Sus scrofa: one gene and its partners. The protein of the gene in region 1 interacts with the protein of each later gene in a pairwise test. Links are inferred from orthologs where the notes say so. Each region holds a gene or a part of one and is shown on either strand. Other genes may lie near its edges.

Region 1 (3,571 bases):
GTATGAACTTACAGTATGCTGCCCCCAGACATTTGGAGGTGGGTACTCTTTAGTTCCTAGACCCTCGGGCCCCAGAGTCACATCTTCGTTTTTGTTTAGCTGTTCTGCTGAGCTTTGTTGTGAGGGACACAGCCTTGCTGATCACTGGAATTGCTGGCCAGTGGGATCTAGGCATGGCCCCTATGAAGGGCAGTTGGGTATTTGCTTTCTGGACAGAAATGGGAAGGGGGAGGAGTAAGGGAATTCTAATGACTTGGGCACCCTGTAAATCATTATCAAAGAAATTTTGTCAGTCTGTTTTGCAGTATTTTGTCAGATCTACTGCTTTAAAACCAATCTCAAACAAAAAGAATTTCTTAAAAAAAAAGAAATACAAGGCTCGGAGTTCCCATCTTGGCTCGGTGGAAAAGAATCTGACTAGCATCCATGAGGATGCAGGTTCAATCTCTGGCCTTGCTCAGTAGGTTAAGGATCTGGCGTTGCTGTGAGCTGTGGTGTAGGCTGAAGATGCGGCTCAGATCCCACATTGCTATAGCTGTGGCATAGGCCAGCAGCTGCAGCTCTGATTCCACCCCTAGCCTGGGAACCACCATATGCTGTGGGTGCGGCCCTAGAAAGACAAAACAAAACAAGGTTTATGCTCCTAGTAACATTTTATTGAGGGAAGGGTAACTTTAACAGGAAATTTTCTAACTTTAAGAGAGTTGCAGAGTCATTTCCAGTCCTCCAGCCCTTCACCTTTGCCAGCACGTGGTAGTGGCATGTAGGAAGAAACACTGGTAGAGAGGTCCATAGAGTTTTCATTCATGACAAACCAAGAACAGAACCTGAAACACAGTCTTTAAAGATTAGCAATCATTGTGAACGGCGAAGACCAACTTCTTAAGAAGTTTCTGCAGAGCGGTTCTACCCCCATGAAATTGCAGGATGCTTCTTCTTCTTTTAATACCTACTGGTATTAGGTGGTGTGAGCTAAGTGGCCGGAACTGGGGGAGGAACTGAGGACAATCCTGTCGTCAAGGGACTGTTTGCATACACAGGTGGAATAACCAGGACAGACTGGAAAGAATGAATAAATCAAGTAATATTGTTACTACAATCCTACGCAGAACCCCCACCCTGGTCCTATCAGAGTTGAGGACAAAGAGCCCTCTGATAAGCCCTCAGTGGGACTTAGCTGATGCTGCAGTCTGTATTTCTCCAGCACATACTCAGACTATTTTACAGAGAAGCGGCCCAACTCACCCCACTGGTGTTGGTGATGGTGTGGCTGGCAAAATAGGCTGTGACACAAGTTATGCAGAACTCCAAGAGAGAGAAGATAATCAGCATGGCTGAAATGCCTTTTCCAGAAAGCTGAAATTGGAAATAAACACACTGAAATTTTAACTCATCAGGAGGGTCTCACCCAGGCTTCCAAGTGTTACTGACTCGTCAAACATGCTCTTGCTTGTAGTTCACTTGCTCCAGGATTATTTCTCCACTGTTTCACACATTTATTTCAGGGGAATGTGAATTAATTTTGGAATTTCTTTAAAATGTCAGAAGACCTTCCTTTTTGCCAGTGGACTGTTTTATTTAGAAACATTGGAAAGGAAGTAGATTTTTTTTTCTTTGCAGTGGCTTTCTTTTTTCTTTTTAAATAAAATCTTATCTGCTTTTTTTTTTTTTTTTAAATCAAGCAATATAGAACACAACCCATCCTTCCAAATGCCCCTGTCCGGAAATGAGCAAAATTAACATCTCAGGCCTGTTATTCTCAAACTCTATGTATGGGCAAAAGGGGAATAGAAAAATGGATGCATGGAGTGACAACAAGAGAGGAAAAATGAGAGTAAGAGAGGGTGAGAGAATGAGCAACAGAGGCAACCTCACTCTTTAAGAATAGAATCATTTTGTACTTCCTGTTTTGAAGTAAAAGTATTACTTGATTTTAACAGAATAAAAAGAAGTTAAGTCAAATTAAGTTTATAAAATCCATGAAGAATCAACATCATTTTAAACCTACAAGTTTTAATTTGAGGCAGTAGTAGACTGGTGGGAATGTAAATTGGTACAACCAATATGGAGAACAGTCTGGAGGTTCCTTAAAAAACTACAAATAGAGTTACCATATAATCCAGCAATCCCACTTCTGGTCCTTTATCCAGAGAAAACCGTAATTCAGAAAGATACGTGCACTCCAGTATTCATGGCAGAACTTTTCACAACAGCCGAGACATAGAAGCCATGTGTAATTAGCATTCATGTGTTCTCTCTCATCTTTCCTTTCATCTCTTCATGTCCCAATTTCTGTTCTTTTCACGAATCTCCTTACACACCTTCTCCCTGGCCGTTCTGAATTCTTGATTTAATTTACCTCATTTATGGTTGAATAGTACTGTTTTTTAGCAGCACTGCCCATGTGTGTTATTGTTGTTTACTAGAGTATCTTCTTGTTGCTTTTCTATTGTCACAAGGGTTTTATTGGATTATTCCTTTTTTTTTTTTTTTTTTCGGTCTTTGTAGGGCTGCACCCACTGCATATGGAGGTTCCCAGGCTGGGGGTCTAATTGGAGCTGTAGCCTCCAGCCTACACCACAGCCACAGCAATGCAGGATCCATGCAGCGTCTGCAACCACAGCTCACTGCCACGCTGGATCCTTAACCCACTGAGGGCGGCCAGGAATTGAACCTGCAACCTAACCTCATGGTTACTAGTTGGGTTTGTTAACCTGAGCCACGATGGAAACTCTTATTGGATTATTCTTTTTTTTTTTTTTTTTGTCTTTTGTCTTTTGCCTTTTTTGTTGTTGTTGTTGTTGTTGCTATTTCTTGGGCCGCTCCCGCGGCATATGGAGGTTCCCAGGCTAGGGGTCTAATCGGAGCTGTAGCCACAGGCCTACGCCAGAGCCACAGCAACGCGGGATCCGAGCCGCGTCTGCAACCTACACCACAGCTCACGGCAACGCCGGATCGTTAACCCACTGAGCAAGGGCAGGGACCGAACCCGCAACCTCATGGTTCCTAGTCGGATTCGTTAACCACTGTGCCACGACGGGAACTCCGGATTATTCTTGAATCACATTTTCTCCTCATCTAATCTTTACAGACATTTCTCCATAATTTTCTGTCATCAAATGTTGCCTTAGTAGAGACTGAGTCAAGTAGATTTTTTTTCCTGTTTGTAAGTAATTTGATTTTTCTACCTAAACCCTCAAAGAATCCTTTTCTATACTTTATGCTTTAACAAGGATACATAATGTACATACATATATATCAATATGCATCAGTATCTATAGCTCACTTATTTTGCATTTCTTTCTCCTAGTGTAAGTTATTCTCATTTAGCCTACAAATTCAGTTATTATTTCATTTTGGGGAATTTTTTCCAGTATTTCTGAATACTCTTTTGTTTTTGCTTTTAGGGTCATACCCACGGCATGTGGAGGTTCCCAGGCTAGGGGTCAAATAGGAGCTGTAGCTGCCATCCATGCGCCACAGCCACAGCAACACAGGATCTGAGCCACGTCTGTGACCTACACCACAGCTCGCGGTAATGCTGGATCCTCAACCCACTAAGTGAGGCCAG
Region 2 (3,651 bases), on another chromosome or scaffold:
CTCCTCTCCCCGGGTCTCCCACGCCCACCCCTGGGTGGAGGAAAGCGGGGCCAGGAGTGGGTTCACCGATTCACACCTGCGTCCTCCTGTAACACAGCACCTGCAGGGCCAGTGTCTGACTTCTGTTTCCTGGGTGAGCAAACAGGCTGGTCAGCCCCGAGCAGGTACTGTGTGCTAGGCACTGCTGGGCACTGGAGATACAGCAAGGGCCAAAACAAGATTCTTCGGGCGCCTGTGTTCTAGCGGGTGGCCTAGAGTTGCCCTGGGGGAGCTGCACAGAGGGGGCCGGCCCTTGGCCTGGCATCCCTCCAGCTGGATGAAAGCCCAGCTCCTGACTGCCAAGCCCAGGGCTCCAGCTCTCACTTCCTGGCGGTGCTGGGGAAGGAGAAGTGGCCACACCCTCCCCCTCTGTTGTGAGGGAGGGGCTGGTGGGGGAGCCAGTAGGCTCCCCGCCTCAGCTAAGGGTCTTTCCTGCCTGACCCCACACGTGTAGGGGAGCGATGCAGAAACCTCCCTTTGGCCCTTGCTTGGGGTGCTTGGGCAGGTGCCTCGCAGGCGCCCAGCTCTGGCTGCTCTGGGGGAGCGTCCGACTAGGAGCATCTGGACTAGGAGCTTATGGCTGCAGCGGGGACGATGACTTTTTGTCTCAAAAACTGGCAGCCAGAGGTGGGTTTTGCTCCTGAGCCGATTCTCTGTGATCCAATGGTTGGTTCATCCGTGGGCTGGTGCCACACACCTGGATGGTATCCAGCGGGAAAAGGGGGACAGCTTTCTCTGCGTTTTCATCAGTCAAGGAGCCTTCTCCCAGCGGCCGGCCTGGAGGCCTGCTGCCACCCCGGGGGTTGCAGGGAATGAAGACCCTGGTGGAAAGGGAGGATGCCCTGGCTCAGCCAGCGGCGAGGGGGTAGGAGAGGCCCGGGAGAGGTACCACCTGGCCAGGTTCCCCGTGAAGCTCCTCACGAGGGGGTCAGTCACCCTGCCCTGTGGAATTCCCTGCAGCACAGCGTCCCCGAGGTTGGGGTAGTTCCTTTATGTATGTGAACCACGGGTCCTCACTCAGCCCCATGAGCTAGGTGTGCTCAGTATATTCATTTGACAGCTGACGGGACCAGAGCACGGAGTGATTGCAGGCGTGCCCAATGTCACACAGCTGGTAAGGGGAGCGGGTTTTAAATCAGGTGGAGTCCATGCAGCTAGCAGCTACACACACTGCAGGGTTCTTGGGGCCATGGGGTCACAGGCCCCTTGGCTTCTCTGAGGCCCAGTTTGACCTGTAAGACAGGGATGGTAACACCTGATCAGGGGGCAAGTAAGAGAGTCAGAGAAGGAGTTCCCGTTGTGGCTCAGTGGTAACGAGCCCGACTAGTATCGATGAGGAAGCAGGTTTGATCCCTGGCCTCGATCAGTGGGTTAAGGATCTGGCGTTCGTGTGAGCTGCGGTGTAGGTTGCAGACACGGCTTGGGTCCAAGTTGTAGGCTGACAGCTACGGCTTTGATTCGATCCCTGGCCTGGAAACTCCCATATGCTGCAGGTATGACCCTAAAAAGACAAAAACGAAACAAAAACAAGAGTCAGGGAGCTCCCTTAATGGTGCAACAGAAACAAATCCAACGAGGAGCCATGAGGTTGCTGGTCCAATTCCTGGCCTCGCTCAGTGGGTTAGAGATCTAGCACTGCCGTGAGCTGTAGTGTAGGTTGCAGATGCGGCTCAGATCTGGCGTGGCTGTGGTGTAGACCGGCAGCTGCAGCTCCGATTAGACCCCTAGTCTAAGAACCTCCATATGCCTCAGGTATGGCCCCAAAAGGCAAACAAAACAAAAAAGGGCATCAGAGAAGGTGGGGAGGAGAGGGTTTGGTGGAACGTCAGACGGAGGTCACTGCACTCCTGGGACTCTGTGACTGTGTCCTCTTTTAGGGATGTGCTGGTGACTTCATCTTTCAGCCGCTTTTACTAAGCCCTCGGCTGAGCTCAGGTACCACCTATACTGGGTGCAGACAGACAGCTCTGAGTGACAGTCACTGTCCTTGTCCTCGGAGAGCTGGGCAAGCCTGGGATACCACCTTCTCTGGGGCTGCAGGGGTCTCACCCTGGAGGCAGCAGAGGTAGAGTAGCTGGCACGGCTGTGTGACTTTCAGTCTGGAGAAGGAAAGAGAATTACAGTTCTGGGCAGTGGGTGCCTCAGGGCCATGTAGCACAGAAGAGGGTTCTGGAACCCAGACTGGAGAAATGGGGAAGGTGCCCTGGGGCACGTGACATCTCATCTGCGAGCTGAGAGAGGGGTACGTTACCAGGCAGGGGCTTGGTCTATAGTGGTATGCAGTAGGAGCCAAATGTGTATTTCTTGGGTAACCGCATCCAGTTGAGGGTGCCCCATGACCAAGGCCAGGAGGCCTCTGGCCCGGGGCCTCCAGCCTGAGTGCTGGGGGCTCTGGGAGACTCTGGCCCCGTCTCGCCCCCTCCAGGTGCTGGGGCTGCTGGTGTGGGCCCTGATCGCCGACACCCCGTACCACCTGTACCCGGCCTATGGCTGGGTGATGTTCGTTGCTGTCTTCCTCTGGCTGGTGACAATCGTCTTCTTCATCCTCTACCTGTTTCAGCTGCACATGAAGCTGTACATGGTGCCCTGGCCGCTGGTGGTGAGTCTGAGTAGGAACCCTGGGGTGGGCGTGGGGGTTCCAGGCTGACCCCTCTGCCTCTGGGCATAGCTGTGACAATGTGACCTTCCCTAAATGAAGAGTGGCAGGCAGGGGAGGGAGGATTGATGGTTTGAGTGCCCAGTTTTTCTGAGCACTGACAGCCGTGGATCCAGGAGGACACAGGTTTGACTTTCTCTAACGAAGGGAACGGAAATGAGGGACTGTTGAATGCAGACTGGAGGCTGGTGCGATCTCGAAAAGTATTCTTCCTTTGCGGGGGCAGTTGGGATTTGAACCTGTGTGGTAGTGGGTCTGTCTGACTCTGGCTGAGCCCAGATGGGCAGCCCTGGGCCTGGAGGCTGGTCAGAGCTGGCAGGAATCACCAAGGCTGGGTCTGTGTGTGCAGGACGGGCTGGGCGCAGCGTGCTGTTCCCCCACCCTCTAAGCCTATAGGTGAGGCCCCTGCAACCTGGGAGAGGGTGGCGCCCCGGGTTTGCCCAGGTCAGTTCCCTGAGGACACAGAGCTGAGAGCGTCCATAGGAAGTACCCTGGCCAGACACACAAAACTGCTGGGGCTTTTTTCTCCAACCCGGAAAACCCCTGCAGCTGGGGCCTGAGCTCTCTGCGAGCAGAGGGCACGTGATTGGAAGATAAGCAAGGCTGGGACTAGGCAGCATTGTTTGGAATTCAATGACTTTTGAAGCTGAGGAAACGTGAGTCATCCTTAAGACAGAACGGGTTTGTTAGATCTTGACATCACTGGCAGGAGCCAGGTGCTATTCGCGCCGGGTGCTGGGCTTGGAGCGAAGATCCTGGGGTGAGGAGGGGGGACGCCTGATTTCCTGGCCAGGGTCCAGCCCCTGCCTCATGTCCTAGGAGCCTTGAAGAAAGGCAGCCCCGGAGATGGAGGGGCCTTGGTGTCTCTTAGCACAGCTTTGAGGCTCAAGCCGCAGCTCCTGATGGGAGCAGGCTTCTTTCCCAGGCCACGAGGGCAGGGGCGGTGTCTTGCACTC
Region 3 (3,651 bases), on another chromosome or scaffold:
CTCAGCCCTTTTCCTTGCCAAGCTCTAGGCTAAGCCCTTCCCCCATTTATCTCATTTAACCTTGACAACTAGGAGGTAGGTACTATTGATCATTAGCGCCATTTTGAGGAAAAAGAAGTTTCAAAGTTGAGGTCAGTGATTAAACCTGAGCCAGAATTTGAATCCAAGTGACATTAATAACACCAAACCTGTGCTCTCAACCATTAGTGTTATGAAGCCCAGCTGTGTTCTGGGTACTGTCCTAACCATGTGCACATGTTGTGTCATTTTATTTTCACAGCTAATTTCATATGGCTGCTACGACTGATAGCCCCAGTTTACGATGAGGAAAGAGAGGATTAGCTGACAAGTGCTAGAGTAGGCTAATCCGACTCTAGACTTCAATTTTTGAACCTCTGTGCTAATATCTTCAATGCCACAAAAATGTCATACAATCAGTTCTGGAAGGAACATCATAATAGGCCAATCGGCATTTTGCAACCCCTGAAGACATATTCATTCACTTTCAGAAAGATCCTCAGTAGATGGAAGACAGCATTAGAGAAAAAATTGATGGGGTAGGGCTGTCACTGGAAGAGGGACCACAAGTAACGGTGTGTGATGTGACTTAAAGCCATTTACAAAACATTCTTGCCAGAAAAACTTAACCTATCTTCACTTTGGCCTTTTAAGTGCTAACTTTCAGTTTACAGAAAACTCAGGCATGAGAGGAGCAAGTCAGATCCCACCAGGAAGAAGCAAACAGATAAACTCCCAAATGTAAGCCCCTCTACAGGACAGCTGACCACCCCATTTCTTCAGCAAGTAACTGGCAGGGAGAGCCATTCTAGATTAAAGTACCCAAGAACCATCACTACCAAGTGGAAGCGGGTCTCGTGAGGACCTGAGGCCAAGTGTAGAAACAGGCCAAGTGCAAAAACATGTCTCAGTTAAAACAGAGGACCTTGAATGTGACCTTGGTCTTAGATGCTACTGGGGAATTAACTTTATGTAAGTGCAATAATGTAAGAAAGTTAATGTATTTTTTTGGAGGTATGCTGATGTGTGTAGAATGGAATGATGTGATGTATGGGGGTTGCTTTAAAATTCTTCAGGGGAAGGGTTCCCATTGTGGCTCATTGATTAATGAACCTGACTAATATCCATGAGGACGTGGGTTTGATCCCTGGCCTCGCTCAGTGGGTTAAGATCTGGCATTGCCGTGAGCTGTGGTGTAGGTGACAGATGCAGCTTGGATCTGGCATTGCTGTGGCTGTGGCTGTGGCATAGGCCAGTGGCTACAGCTCTGATTCGACCCCTAGCCTAGGAATCTCCATATGCTGTGGGTGCGGGCTTAAAAAGACAAAAATAAATAAAGAAATAAATAAAATTCTTCAGGGGAAAAAAGGGCTGGGTGAAGCAAGTGTAATAAAACTTAAAAATACTGGAATCTGGTTTGTGATTATGAGGGGCCGTAATGTAATCCTCCCTCCATTTTGAGTTGTTCAATATAGAAAATTTTTCAGTGGGTATCAAGATGATGTGGTGACATGAAAAAACTTAATGACAATATAAAATCAAAGAATCTACATCCAAAATTATAGGTTCCCAATAAGAAAAAGAAACAGACTCATGGACAAGAACAGACTTGTGGTTGCCAAGAGGGAGAGGGATGGGGGAGGGAGGGCATGGAAGTTTGGGGTTAGTAGATGCAAATTATTACATATAGAAATGGTGTACAATAAGGTCCTACTGTTTAGCACAGGAAACTATTTTCAGTGTCATATGATAAACCATGTGGATGATAACATTAAAAAAGAATATTAAAAAAGAATTATTTTGTTGTTCAGTAGAAATTAACACAATTGTGGCTATGGTGTAGGCCAGCAGCTGTAACTCTGAGTTGACCCCTAGCCTGGGAACCTCCATATGCCCTAAAAAGAAAAAAAAAAAAAAGAAAGAAAGAAAAAAAAGAAAAAAAGAAACAAAATTATTGGTTCAGTGTGATTATATTTACATATTGCAAAAAATGTGCCAGGAGTATGGAACCCAGCAATTGCGATAGGACCTTGAGACTGGGGTGATTCTTTTTCTGCTAGCATTTTCTTCAATGCTGCTCCAGTGATTTTATCATAAACTAAATTTAGAGGGAAATGTTTCAGGATGTGTTTGATCCAGGAGTAGCCAGGATGCATATATCCCTCACAAGCAAGGCAGTGGAATGCCATAAAGGATGGATGCTGGCAGAGGAAGGCTCTCCTTCTCATCTGGTAGTAAACGCATCCAAATAAAAGCCAGGGTAGAGAGGGTCCAGCCCAGGAAAGGTCCCAGCTTCCCCCTCCCCATCCAGGAGGTCCACTGTCCTCAGCACACCCAGGACTGGAGTTTGGGAGGCGTCCCAGGGACTGGCTCACTCTCACTGGTTCTTACCAGGATTTTCCAGGACTCGTATCTTTTGTAAAATCCAAACACATAAGACAACAGGAACATCAGGGAGATGAGGAATGAGGTGAGCGAGACGTACATCACCCATCCTTGCAGCAGCGGATTTGCTACCTGGGTGGCGGCTACCAGGATCCAGACCCAGAACCCAAATACCTGTAAGAGAAAAGCACAGGCGAAGGGGCTTCATTGGCTGGTGTGGGGTACGTTTCCCTTTGCAGGTTGTCCTCCGGCCCTGGTTAAACATTCTTCACACGGAGTTAGGTGGGAATCAAGAGGGAAATGGGGAAGGAAGGCTGGCCTTCGAAGTCAGAGTAAATTTTGTTAGGAAATTCAAGTGGTCGACACAGAGGGTGCCAATGGAAGGGCTTGGCTAAATGTGGCCTGGGGATGTGTGTCTCCTTGGCCCAAGTAGCTTTGGCATATAAAGTTTTAAAAACATTTCTCAATAAGTTTCCAACATTTGAAACAGGATATTTCACAGGAAAAATCCAGATTTCAGACATGTCTTGGGAACTTTATAATCCTGGCCACAGAGAACCCATTTCCAAGGCCAGAGTAGTCTGAAGGCAGTTGTGACTCTCTCTTTGAAGAGGACCTGGAGTTCTCAGTGGACCATATCCCCAACTTTCCCAATGCCAATGCCATTGCGTGGCCCATTCCCTGGTGCTCACTTTCACTGTGGCTCCTTCTGCCTCCCTTCACCCACAGACAGTGTCTGTCTGGCCCTGTGGACTTTTGGTTTGGAGCTTCCTGGTAACTGATGCCCTGGAGTCAGTTACCAGTTGGGCAGTACAGCTTCAGTTTCATCACCTCTCAACTCTGTGCAGCCATTTATTATTCCCTTGGTGGAGAAACCCAACCTTTTTCCTGTTGTCTCTGGGCTCTGCATTTGTTTGCTTTGGGGCTAGGCTTGTAGCCATGCTGGTGAGTCCAGAGGAGCAACTAAATGTCCACCAGAGAGCACCTCAGTTAGAGGCCTGGAGGGGAGGGTCACATGCCCAGGAGCACCAGGTGGTTTTTGTTTTTTTATTTTTTTGTTTTTTGTTTTTGCTATTTTAGGGCTGTTCCTGAGGCATATGGAAGTTCCCAAGCTAAGGGTCGAATAGGAGCTGTAGCTGCTGGCCTACACCCCAGCCATAGCAACTCGGGATCCAAACCGCATCTGCGACCTACACCACAGCCCACAGCAACACCGGATCCCTAACCCACTGAGCAAGGCCAGGGATC

The links.
Region 2: the proteins of MS4A12 (region 1) and PLLP interact in binary tests that used the Homo sapiens proteins (3 or more experiments, as listed by UniProt). The two-hybrid records come from large-scale screens. The link is inferred for Sus scrofa from reciprocal best matches to the Homo sapiens genes MS4A12 and PLLP.
Region 3: the proteins of MS4A12 (region 1) and MALL interact in binary tests that used the Homo sapiens proteins (3 or more experiments, as listed by UniProt). The two-hybrid records come from large-scale screens. The link is inferred for Sus scrofa from reciprocal best matches to the Homo sapiens genes MS4A12 and MALL.

What each region holds. Positions count from the first base shown.
Region 1 is NC_010444.4:11,176,772-11,180,342, forward strand, and holds the end of MS4A12 (membrane-spanning 4-domains subfamily A member 12), read right to left. Parts: intron 1,357-3,571; coding exon 1,246-1,356; intron 1,060-1,245; coding exon 973-1,059; 3' UTR 635-972; downstream 1-634. UniProt on the Homo sapiens protein: May be involved in signal transduction as a component of a multimeric receptor complex.
Region 2 is NC_010448.4:19,220,621-19,224,271, reverse strand, and holds part of PLLP (plasmolipin), read left to right. Parts: intron 1-2,464; coding exon 2,465-2,638; intron 2,639-3,651. UniProt on the Homo sapiens protein: Main component of the myelin sheath that plays an important role in myelin membrane biogenesis and myelination. Plays an essential function in apical endocytosis. Regulates epithelial development through the regulation of apical endocytosis.
Region 3 is NC_010445.4:46,284,643-46,288,293, forward strand, and holds part of MALL (MAL-like protein), read right to left. Parts: intron 2,578-3,651; coding exon 2,410-2,577; intron 1-2,409.